Linked DNA regions of Elephas maximus indicus. The protein of the gene in region 2 interacts with the protein of the main gene of each other region in a biochemical or structural test. Links are inferred from orthologs where the notes say so. Each region holds a gene or a part of one and is shown on either strand. Other genes may lie near its edges.

What was found.
Region 1: of the proteins of RANGAP1 (region 2) and USPL1, one has a biochemical effect on the other in vitro, tested with the Homo sapiens proteins (2 studies listed by BioGRID). The link is inferred for Elephas maximus indicus from reciprocal best matches to the Homo sapiens genes RANGAP1 and USPL1.
Region 3: the proteins of RANGAP1 (region 2) and E3 SUMO-protein ligase RanBP2-like form a complex in vitro, tested with the Homo sapiens proteins (5 studies listed by BioGRID and IntAct, with this or other methods). The link is inferred for Elephas maximus indicus from reciprocal best matches to the Homo sapiens genes RANGAP1 and RANBP2.

What each region holds. Positions count from the first base shown.
Region 1 is NC_064841.1:63,260,444-63,264,189, reverse strand, and holds the start of USPL1 (SUMO-specific isopeptidase USPL1), read right to left. Parts: upstream 2,533-3,746; 5' UTR 2,327-2,532; intron 1-2,326. UniProt on the Homo sapiens protein: SUMO-specific isopeptidase involved in protein desumoylation. Specifically binds SUMO proteins with a higher affinity for SUMO2 and SUMO3 which it cleaves more efficiently. Also able to process full-length SUMO proteins to their mature forms.
Region 2 is NC_064822.1:185,455,179-185,458,924, forward strand, and holds the start of RANGAP1 (ran GTPase-activating protein 1), read right to left. Parts: upstream 2,264-3,746; 5' UTR 2,014-2,263; intron 1-2,013. UniProt on the Homo sapiens protein: GTPase activator for RAN. Converts cytoplasmic GTP-bound RAN to GDP-bound RAN, which is essential for RAN-mediated nuclear import and export. Mediates dissociation of cargo from nuclear export complexes containing XPO1, RAN and RANBP2 after nuclear export.
Region 3 is NC_064835.1:77,083,011-77,086,756, reverse strand, and holds the start of E3 SUMO-protein ligase RanBP2-like, read left to right. Parts: upstream 1-820; 5' UTR 821-937; coding exon 938-1,009; intron 1,010-3,746. UniProt on the Homo sapiens protein: E3 SUMO-protein ligase which facilitates SUMO1 and SUMO2 conjugation by UBE2I. Involved in transport factor (Ran-GTP, karyopherin)-mediated protein import via the F-G repeat-containing domain which acts as a docking site for substrates.

The DNA.
Region 1 (3,746 bases), on a different chromosome or scaffold from region 2:
AAAACAGAGTAGAAGCACCTCATAGGTTTCCAAGGGGCAGCTGGTGGATTCATTCAGCCAGCCTTTTGGTCAGCAGCTGATCTCAGCCACTCCGCCACCAGGGCTCCAAGTTAGTATTAATGAATCCCAATTTCCTACTTCTGAGGAAACATCCCCACTGCACTACAGGCATTTTGGACCTGATAATTATTTGTTGTAGGGTTGTTCAGTGCACTGTAGAATGTTCAGCAGCATCCCTGGCCTGTATCCTCTGGATGCCAGTAGCATTTCCCACCCCACCCCACACTGTAACTATCAAAAGTATCTCCAGACATTGCTAAATGTCCCCTGGAGGCAAAACCAGCCCGTAAGGAACCACTGCCACAGGACCAACTTGTTTATTACCTTCGGTTTGTTCTATTTATAATTTACTTACAAAGGTAACCATACAAGAACGGCTCAAACTTCTGGAGTTCCAGAGTAGCTAAAAAGCATTGGCTTTGCATCTGCCGTTCTGTGTTCAGAAATTTCTTGTTGTAAAACTGGATTATTCTAAGAACTAAATGAAGTAACGCATGGAAAATGCTTAACACAGCATCTGACACATAGTAAGTTGCAGCTACTATTTATCTGGTGCTAATTTTACACTTCGCTCTATGTAGAAAATATGCAGTACACCTTGCATCATCCTACAATATTCTCAAAAGAAAAACTAGGAGGTGACTTAACCACGAATAAATTATTTTTGATAAAAATTTTCATTTGCCTGAGAAATCTAGAAAGCTTTTTTTTGGATGGTTCTCTCTCTCTCAATTATAAAAGTAAACTAAAACATGGAGAAAACCAAAACCAAGCCCACTGTTGATGAGTCGATTCCAACTCACAGCAACCCAATAGAGCCCTATAACCCTGTAGTACAACTGCCCCACGGGGTTTCCAAGGAGCCTGGTGGATTCAAACCGCCAACCTTTTGGTTAGCAGCTGAGCTCTTAACCACTGCACCACCAGGACGCTGAATATCCAAAATCAAGCCTCCAAATCTGCTCTCCTGATCCCACCACCCACATGTCAATGAGGAAAGCAGGTAGGCTGGTAGTTGAAGTCCTGAAACCCAGAAATATGCAAAACTCCCCCAGAAAACACTCACTTAAAAAAATGCCGGAGATGGACTATTCAGATTTTCCTTCAAACACAATTATTTTGTCCTAGGATGCAAAATCCTAAGAGTGGTTGCTACAACTTAATTTGTCCCTAAAAAAATGCCCTCACTGCCGCCCTCCTTCAAAAATAATTGGCTCCTCTTCCTATAAAAAATATATATATATATATATATCTCACCCAAATTTTGGTATCTCCAACCTTCCAAGCACACAGGTTAGAATATTTGAGTCGTTCTACTCTGCAAAATCCCTCTGCTTCACGCAGTAACTCACCAAATTCTGTGGCTTTACCTTGGAAATGTCCCAAATCCCACCTCTGTCCATCCCATCCCCACTCTGTATCACTGCCAAGGTGATGCTCCCACAAAACAAGTCTGATTCTGTCACAGCTCAGCTCAAAGTTATCTATTTACTCCATGCCGATTATTGGAAAGTCCAAACAGATCAATACAACCTAAAGGTAGCCTTCCGACCTAAAGCTCGTTGCACTGCGACGGCAATCTAGCTTTCCAGCCTCATCTTCCTCTACTCCACTTCACCCTCAGCCCCTTTCTTTTACCACCTCCTTTTCACACTTCTGTGAGCCACTGATCCTCCAGGAGCCCTAATGTGAACGACTAGCCCAGTATGCGGTGCCAACGACGTGTAAAGTTGGCCCTGGGAACCCCGAAACACGTGCAATTAAACGTAATTCACAGTCCCGTGTGCAAAATGAGGACACTCGGAGAAAGAGCAGTTCGGAGAGGGGCCTTATACCCTCTTGAATGTGCGCTCCGAAACCAAGTGCATTCAGCACTCAGTCAAAACACGAAGCCACAACCGACAAAAAGCAGAGGAATGGGGTCGGCCTTCAGCGCCCAGAGCAGTCTGGTACCGAACCCCGACGTCCCGAATCGGAGGCGCGTAGAACCAAGAGAGGTCAGTTTCGAATCCGAACCTTGGAAACCCGAGGAGGCGTGGGGTTCCGTTAACCCTCATCTCCACGCACCTTGGAAGAGGGAACGAACTCTGGTTTCTCTTCAGCGTTTACCTCTCTGAGCCCAAACGACACCTTAAGCATCAACCCTTCCCACGCGAACCCAGTCGCAGCCCTGCCCCTCCCACCTAGCCCACCTTCCCCGCGTGCAAACTACTTCCTCATTTCCTATCTCGAGAGCTGAAGGGAACTACTCCTTCCTCCCCCTTACCTGCCGCGGGCACTCCCCTTCTTCACACCGGCTCGATCCGGACTCCTGTTCCAGTTTGAGCCCCACAACACCCACAGCAACGTTCACCTCACGTTCCCTCGGACTGCTCCTCCCCCACCAGCGGGCCCTTTCGGTGAGCAGCTTCCGGTTTCAGTCCGCGGCAAAAGAGTTCCCCTTCCTGCTGCGCGCGGGGCCTGAAAGGACGAAGCCCTGGCGGGGAAGGCTAGAAGGGTGCACTTCCGGTCGGGCTCCGCAGAGGCGTGGCTGTCCGCCCGGCTGCCGCAGCGGCAGTTTCAGCTGCGGCGACGATTAGGGGCGGGGCCGGGGACTGCAGAGCCCGCCATGTGTGAGTGGCTAGGTTTGGGGAGGCGACGTTTCTGGAAGCTGCTGGAAGGCGCTCGAGGGGCGGAGGTGACGCCGGGAGGGGGGAGGCGTGATTAAAACTAGTGCGCGGCCTGCAGCGGAGGGATTACGCTGAGGAAAGAGTCCGGTGCGCGGCTCGTCACGCGGGTGCTGGGGTTGGAGCCGACGGTCCCCAGCGCGGCCGGGGTGGTTGGGACAGGGAGGGCCCCCGAGCCGGGCGGAGGCTGCGATGGCGGGTCTCCGCAGGCCTGTCTTTGCGGCGCCGTGTGCTCCACGCCTCGGCCGCGCGAGGCAGCCCCGGTCCACCCTCCTAAAGGCTCGGTGAGATCCGAGCTGCCGCAGAGTGCGCGTTCACAAAGGGCCACCACACACGGAGCTGCCCCTGTCTCCCCACAGCCCACCTTTGCGGCCAGGGGCTTTGCGGCCAGGGTTTTGGGGGTGTTTCACCTAGCCTCCCTCCCAGATCGTCCAACGGTAAGGGGAGCAGCCGGAGCACAGGGCCTTAGCTGTCCATCACCCGTTTTCACTAGTCAGCGGCCCATCTGCCCTGCTGCGCGAATTGCAGCTGCCCTTGCCTAGTTTTAACTTCAGAGACAGGCAGTTCTCCTCTAGTTGATACGTTTAAGGTTCTGCTTTCTAGGACGGTCATGTGGCTTAAGGGGCATCGTGACTGCGTGTGCTCTTTCTGAGCCTGCATACTAAATCTTGGGGGCAGCATATTGCAGAAGTCCTTCTGAGCTCCTAGTTCTGTGTTACAGGGTAACAGCGTCGTTTCTGACCATTTCATTACACAGTAGAGTAACCACGTTGGGCATTTTGGATTATGTGTTTTAGGGGATTTTAGATTTTTCAGTGGTCTGAAGTGATTATATTTTGGAATACTGGTAATTTTGATAGGATAATACGGAGGAAACAAACCTCAGGTACCAAGAAATGCCTTAGTGGAAAAGAATTTTAGTTTTCCGTACTTCTTTGAATGCACATCATGGAGAAACCCAACATTGTTTTTTTTTCTGCAGACTGAAGATACTGGCTGATTAGTTGTTGCATTAGATTA
Region 2 (3,746 bases):
CAGAGGTTCCCAGGAGACCAGAGCACTCTACGTCACAACAGCCACCATCACAATAGGCCAGGGACAGCACTGCTAGAAAAAGGAGTTTCCAGCCTGGAGCTCAGCAGACCGGCAGAAAAGACAACTCCACTTCCCCAAAGAAGAGATGGCAGGTAATCAGGGGGGACCAAGGAAGAGAGCTGATAAATGATTCAGAATTCAGAGGTATCCATGGAGAGACTCCTGCCCAGAACTCCTCCCCCAATCCAGCCATCCTCAAGACGCAGCTGTGAGAGCTCCCCAATCCTCCCACACCCCCAGGTCTCCTCCAAACAGCCAGCTTCCCACCCCCTTCTCCTGATCTGAAGTCTCATTACCCTGGTTTGTCTGTGTCTGTTTGTCTTTATCGGCAAGCTCGGTTTATTCTGGATATAAGCATCCACTCATTCATTCAAGAAACGTTTATGCATCACTACTCTGTGTTAAAAGGAGCCCTGGTGGCGCAGTGGTTAAGCACTTGGCTGCTAACCAAAAGGTCAGCAGTGGTTTGAAGCCACTCCACAGGTGAAGGATGTGGTAGTTGGCTTCCGTAAAGATTACAGTTTTGGAAGCCCCTGGTTCGAAGCCACTCCACAGGTGAAGGATGTGGTAGTTGGCTTCCGTAAAGATTACAGTTTTGGGAGCCCTATGGGGCAGTTTTCTTCTGTCCTACAGGGTCACCATGAGTTGGAATTGACTCTGCAGCAACAGTTTTTTTGTTTTTACTCTGTGTTGGACATGGTTCCAAGTACCAAGAGGACGGCAGTAAGAGACAAAAAGCCTGCCCTTGTAAAGCATATGTTCTAAATAAGATATTTAGTATGTTAGTGGTAAGAAGAAACAGGAAAGGGAGTAAGGAGTTTTTTGCAAGTTAAAGCAAAAACGGTTAGGGAAAGTATTATTAGGAGACAATAAGATCTGAAGGCTACAGGGACTACACCCTGCAGGTATCTGGGGAAGGGATTCCTGTAAAGGGAACAGCAAACACAAAGGCTCTTGGTGGGGGAAGGAGAGGGGAGTTAGGGGAACTGTGAGGAGCCCCTTGGGGCTGAGCAGTGAGGGAGGGAGAAAGGAGGTATGAGCAGGAGGCCCAAGTCACGAAGACCATTTAAGGACTGTGGGTCTTACTCCAAGTGACAAAACCACTGGGAGTTTCTAGCAGAAGGATGTGATGAGGGACATGATGTGCCCTTAGGTATGTTTTGACAGATCACTCTATCTGCGGTATAGGGCCTGGCCTTTAGAAAGTGCTGGAAGAATGACTGGATGAAACTGAATAAAAATTACCACCACCCCCTCTTCCAGGGCTGGGATGGGGCAATTTGAAGCTGGAAGCCTGGTGGTGGGGCTTCGAGGTGGAACGGGGACACAGATCTTCTCAGCTGGAAGGAGGCCCACACTCAGTCCAGTCGACCCCTCCCACCCACTCTAAAGACGAAAAACATCGAAGCACAGAGGTGAATTGATTTGTTCAAGGTCAGCAAGGGATCAGCAGCAGAGCCAAGGCCACCAGTAAATACGGAAACAGCCGCCTCCCTTCTCGGCAGGAGCGCAGGGACTTTCTCAGGTGCAAACGCATCGCTCACCCAAAAGCGCCAGCCGTGACTCACACCGATCCCCGGGGGCTGCAGCGCCCTCCGCGGGCCGTGGGCGATGGGGACGCGGCGACGGGGGAGCGACGCGTGAAAGCAGGCCTTCGGTGACAGGCGAGCAGCGCGGGAGCCCCACCCGGGATCGCCACCGACGCCACTGCTGGCAGCTGCGGGCTGGGCGGCCTCGGTCGGGCGAGTCGGGCGTCCTCTCTGAACCTCAGTTTCCCCCTTTGTGAAAGGGGCCAGCGCCCCCCACCCCACCCACCTCACCTCCGCGCTCGGCCGTCGCCAGCATGAAGGAGGAGGCCGAGGGGACACCGTCCTCGCCTAGGTCCAAGGTCGCCCGGTCGCCCCTCTCCCATCCCAGGCAGGTGACGGGAAAGGAAAAGAGCCCCGAGCCTACCGTAAACAGGCGGAGCCGCCGCGTGGGGCGACCCGAGCGCGCGCCTCAGCCCGGCAGGGCCGGGAGCGATTTAGGGTCCGGGTCAGGTCAGGTCGGGGTCGCCGTCTCTAAGTCCTGGAGGCTCGATGTCCAGCCCGCACGTCTGTCCGCTCTCCCACAGCTTCTAGCCACTCACGTCTCCCACACCACCTGCTCCCCACACGGCAGCGGATGATGGCGGAGGAGGAGGATTTTGAAAGCCGGCAGTTTCTTTCCTTCGATTTGATTTGTTCGAGGCCCAGGCCGGCTTCTCCATCCCCCGCGCGCGTGGCCTATCGGGTAGGGTAGTCTAGTTCTCCTGCGCGGGGGAGGCAGGCGCGGCAGGAGCGGGCACTATGAACTACCACACCCATGATTCATTGCATTCCAGAGTGCCCCCCCCTCCCCCCGCCTCTCCCTCTTCGCCCTCCCATTTCGGCTTCTGGCTCATTCTCTCGGAGACCACAGGGCGGCGCTTAACCGGGAACTCCCAGAGAGACTACAATTCCCCTAATGCCTTGCGGCGGGCCCCTCTCCGCCTTTCCTGAAAGGCTCCTGTTCTCATAACTTTATTGACAAAGGCTGGGGCTGCCAGAGGCACGCTGCTGGATGTTTTCAGCAACAAATAGATATCCGTTTCTTGAAAGAAAAGACTCGTCTTTTTTGTCGCATAATATCGAAAGGAAATTCGAAGACTTTCACATAAATAGCCACAAGTTATTAAAAAGTAAAAAAAGGAAATACGATCTCTGTAGGAGAGATACTGCGGACACCACCTTAACCAAGGGGTCCACGTTAACATCAGACAGGACGAACTGACCTCTTGCGACTCAGATGTAATGCACAGAGAAGACGCAGCATCACCATCCTGTCAACGGCACAAAAAATGAATCTAATCATGAGGAAACATCGGACAAACCAAAACTGAGGGACATGCTACAGAATAACTGTTCTGTACTCTCCCAAAAATGTCTGTGTCAGGAAAGAAATAAAAAATGAGAAACTGTTGCAGGTCATAGACTACAAAGACACAACAACTAAATGCAATAAGTGGTTGGATTGGTTGCTGGAAGGGGGGGTGCTATAAAGGACAATGTTGAGACAATCAGCAAATTTGACTGTATATTAAATAGTTTTTTATTGTACCAGGGTTAAGTCTTCTAATTTTGATTATCGTACTAGGTTATGTAAGTGCAGTGCAGTGAGTTACTTAATATGGTCCTTCTACCCATAGTCTTTGTAACTCCCACCAAATGACTGAGTGGAACTAGACAAATAAGATGCTTGTAGCCCATCAAAGGGATTGGATAGCCTGCTAATAATGTAAATAAGGCACAGGGCACCCTTGTAGGGGTGGGGCCATGCAAATAAACCCTAAGGGGGGGATTGGCCAGTTTTGTCATCCTGCTAGGCTTAAAATGAGCCCTCTTAGAGGTGGGAAGGCAGGTTCTCACCACCACCAAGAAAGAAGAGCCAGGAGTAAAGCATGTCCTTTGGACCCAGGATTCTTGCACAGAGAACCTCCTAGATCCAGGAGACAGAGACCACTGTAACACCCGAAGATGGCGGCAGAGAAGCGGTGGCACAGAAGCGGTGGCTGGGGCAGCAGAACTAGGAAACCGGCAGGAGATGGTGCAGTGGGCTTCCCAGCCCACAGGTTGAGAAAATGGAGCACCTTCAGACAGGAAGCTCACTGGCAGATTGGGGTGCCCCTG
Region 3 (3,746 bases), on a different chromosome or scaffold from region 2:
CACAAATGTAATCTCTTGTAAACCTAAAAATGTCTTCACCATTGAAAACATTTTAAGCCTTGTCTTAAAAGTATGATTTTAAGATTCAAAATCCAGAAGTAAACATAGGGGGAACACAGGTGTCCCACTATTTTGAGGTGTCTTTCACAGTGTGCCTATAAGGGTCCTGTCCCTCTCGCCACATCCTTCCTCACCCCTAGCACTCGGAGATTGTTATCCTACTCTTCTACTAAAATCATATATTTTTTTTTTTTGGACGATCACAGTTTTGTTAAACATATATGTAAACAAAACTCTGATCGTCCTATCTGACCTATATGTTAATAGGTCTCAAAATGTACTCTTTTATATAAAAGCGTGACTTTTAAAACGTATGCTTCGTATTCACACGTATCAGAATAATATATTTAACCAATCGCCTCCAGAATGGTTGTTCCAATTTACCAAAATGGCGAGACTGGTGGTTCTTTCCACAGCATTACGTAATTACAACGAAGAACGTAGGAACAAGACTTCGAAGAACTCAAAACATCCTGCTGATCTAGTTAAGAGTCCTGGGATCATACGTGGTACTGGATAGTTTTCCCCACGCCTCCTCCGGCGAGAGCCCTGCCGCCGAAAGCCGGAATCTGAGCCTGGCTCCGGTAGGCTGGTGTGCGGAGACCCGGCGGCCCGGCCGAGCCCCAGCGCGGCGGGAGGGCGGCCAGCGGGCGCGGCGGGCTGTGCGCAAGCGGAAGTCCGCGGGGCTGGCCGGAGGCCTCGCTGCCGTGGCCGGCGTGGCGCACAGTGCTGATGCAACACGCACGCACGTCCGGCCGCTCCTCAGCCGGCGACGACGCTGCGTCACGCGCTTTTGGGCGCTTCGTCCCCACAGACGGCCGAGCGCTGCGGGCCCCGAGGCTGGTCTCCCGCGCACCGGGAGCCAGGACGGGGCGCGATGAGGCGCAGCAAGGCTGACGTGGAGCGGTACATCGCCTCGGTGCAGGGCTCTGTCCCGTCGCCCCGAGAGGTAGGACGCCCCGGGGAGACGTGGGCCTCTGGCCCTGGCCCGGCTGCGGCCCGCGGCCCCGCGTCGGCTTCATGGCCCCCGGCCGGCCGCCGCTGCTTCGCGCGTTCCGTTGAGGCGGCGGCCGATCGCGCGGGCGCTGGGTTGCGTGGCGCTCGCGAGAGTGCGGGCGGACGGGGGGCGCGTGTCGGGGGCGAAGGAGCCGGGGCCGCGCGGGGCCTCGCGGCGGGGCAGCGGCCGGTGGCGCCGGCGCTTCCTCTTCCTGCTGGCCGGCGCCGAGCGTCCTCGCTTGCGGACCCGCCCTGGCCCTTGTTCCCTCGGCCGCCAGCGCTCCGCGGTGGGCTCTCGCCGCCGCTGTGCCCCCGCTTGGCGCCCCGGTGCCAGCTCCGGCGGGATTCTTTAGTCTCCGGGATTGTTAGCTCCCCGACCGCGGCGGAGGCGGCGGCACCTCCCAGGCTGGAAGTTGGTGGGACCCAGCGGGGACTGACGCAGCTCCGGGAGGGCTTTTCCTCGGGCCGGAGCAGGGGCTACCGCTACATTTGCGACTGCTTGACGCACAGCGCAGGTGACAAGGGATGGTCTCCTGTTTTGAGGTGTCCTGCACAGTGCTTCTAAGAGCCGGGTCCCTCTCATCATGTCCTTCACCACTCCTAGCTCTCTTTAGAAGCTTCTTTCGTTTGCTTTTATTGTTCTTTAATGGAATCTTAGGAGTTCTGGATTCCATAGAGAATGTCACTACTGTGACTTAAAAATTTTAACTTTTTACACAACATACTGTTAGGGAACTTTTCCTGTTTTAAGATAAACCATGTATTTTGGATTCAACAGGACTTTAGTGGTCGAACGTGGAGGGTAAGTGTGGCTGTGCAGAGGATCTAGAGTTGGTTTGCCTGAGGTTGAATCAGGGCTCTTAAGCTGTTAAATTGTGGAATTGGGCAAGTTAAACCGTTTTCTCATTAATAAAACGGAGTTGTAACGTTGATAGGATGATCCATATTAAACATTTAAGACAGAGCTTGGCACCTGTTGTTGTGTGCCGTGGATTTGATGTCGACTCACGGCGACGTTGTAGAGCTGCCCCGCAGCGTTTCCAAAGCGGTAATCTTTATGCAAGCAGATGGCCACATCTTTCTCCCAAGGAGCTGCTGGTGGTTGAAACAACCCACCCTGCAAGGTTAGCAGTTGAATTCTTTAACCACTGCGCTACCTGGGCTCCTTTCTTTGGCACACCAAACCCAAAACCAAACGCATTGCCATCGAGTCGATTCTGACTCATAGCGACCTTTGGCACACACTAAGCACTAAACGTTAGTGGCAGTTCATTTTTGTTTTTGACGTGAAAAGGACAGTCATCCTTTTTTTTGGGCAAGGAGGGTCCTATGATGATAAAGATCTGTTTAAAAATTTTAAAAGAGTTTTTAGAAAAGCAGAACTCTTGGATTATCATGATTGTAATAGCAACATAGTTGAGTCTCTGTCTATATCCCAGGCTTATGTTATCTTATTTAGTGCTCCCAACAACCCTGTGGATACTGAGACCTGGAGAGGTTAAAGATACAGTTTAGCTTAAGAGCCTTGTCATTCTTCAGGAGGGAATGAATAGGTATCTACATCTAATTGTAATTTTGAACTGCCGCATAGTCAGAAGTATTACCGGGCTGGCAGTGTCTACAAAGGACCTTCTTAAGGATTTCTGTACTCTCTGAAATTCGTAAGCCTTTTTCGTTGTTGTTTGTCTTGTTCTCAGTAAGAAGACACTGGCTTCCAAAATATTAAGAACTGCTGGACTAGGCAGAAGTTAGAGGGTATGGAAAATGACCTTTCAGCTACCTAATCTTTCCATCCAATAAAGTGAAGATGGGTGCAAAGTCTTAAGGATTGTTATTACGGTCACCTTTGTCATACACTCAAAGAATATTATTTTAATCAGATGTTTTCTTCAAAGAAGGTGAAGAAAAAGAAGGTTTAGAGCCTGAGAATGTCAGCGGGGTATGGATTAGCAAGTGAGTAACTTTGGAACATGCGAAGCCACTCTTTAAGCTTAGGTCTGAGTGAAATGACAAGATAGGGTGCTTTGAACAACTTAAGGAGCCCTGGTGGCATGGTCCTTAAGTCCTGGCCTGCTAACGGAAAGGTCAGCAGTTTGTACCTACCACATGCTCTGTGGGAGAAGGTTATGGCAGTCTGCTTCCATAAAGATTTACAGCCTTGTAAACCCAATGGGGCAGTTCTGCTTTGTTCTGTAGGGTTGCTAGGAGTTGGAATCCACTTGACAGCAGTGGGTTTGGGTTTGGTTGGACAACTTGGAAGGAGAGATGGGGGGAGCAGAGACAGTAGCAGAGTAGAAAGGGGTCTTAGTGTTTACTTCACTCATTTTGGTAGAGGCTGGTCATGTGTGAACTGACCATCCTTTTTAGGATGTTCAGGTTTTGGAGCGTGTTGATGGATCCATAATCTCTTATCTTCCTGGTCTTCCATTGTACTTTCATTTGCGTATCTCTTTATTTTACCTTTTTTCTACTCTTTCACGCTGCTTTTGCCCTTGTTGAAGACATCAGCCACCTGTTGTTGTTGGGTGCCATCGAGTCAATTCTGACTCACAGAGACTCCATTTGACAGAGTACAGCTGCCCCACAGAGTTTTTTTGGCTGCATTTTTTATGGAAGCAGGTCACCAGGTCTTTATTTGGCAAAGCTGCTAGGTGGGTTTGAACCACCAACCTTTAGGTTAGCAGCCAAGT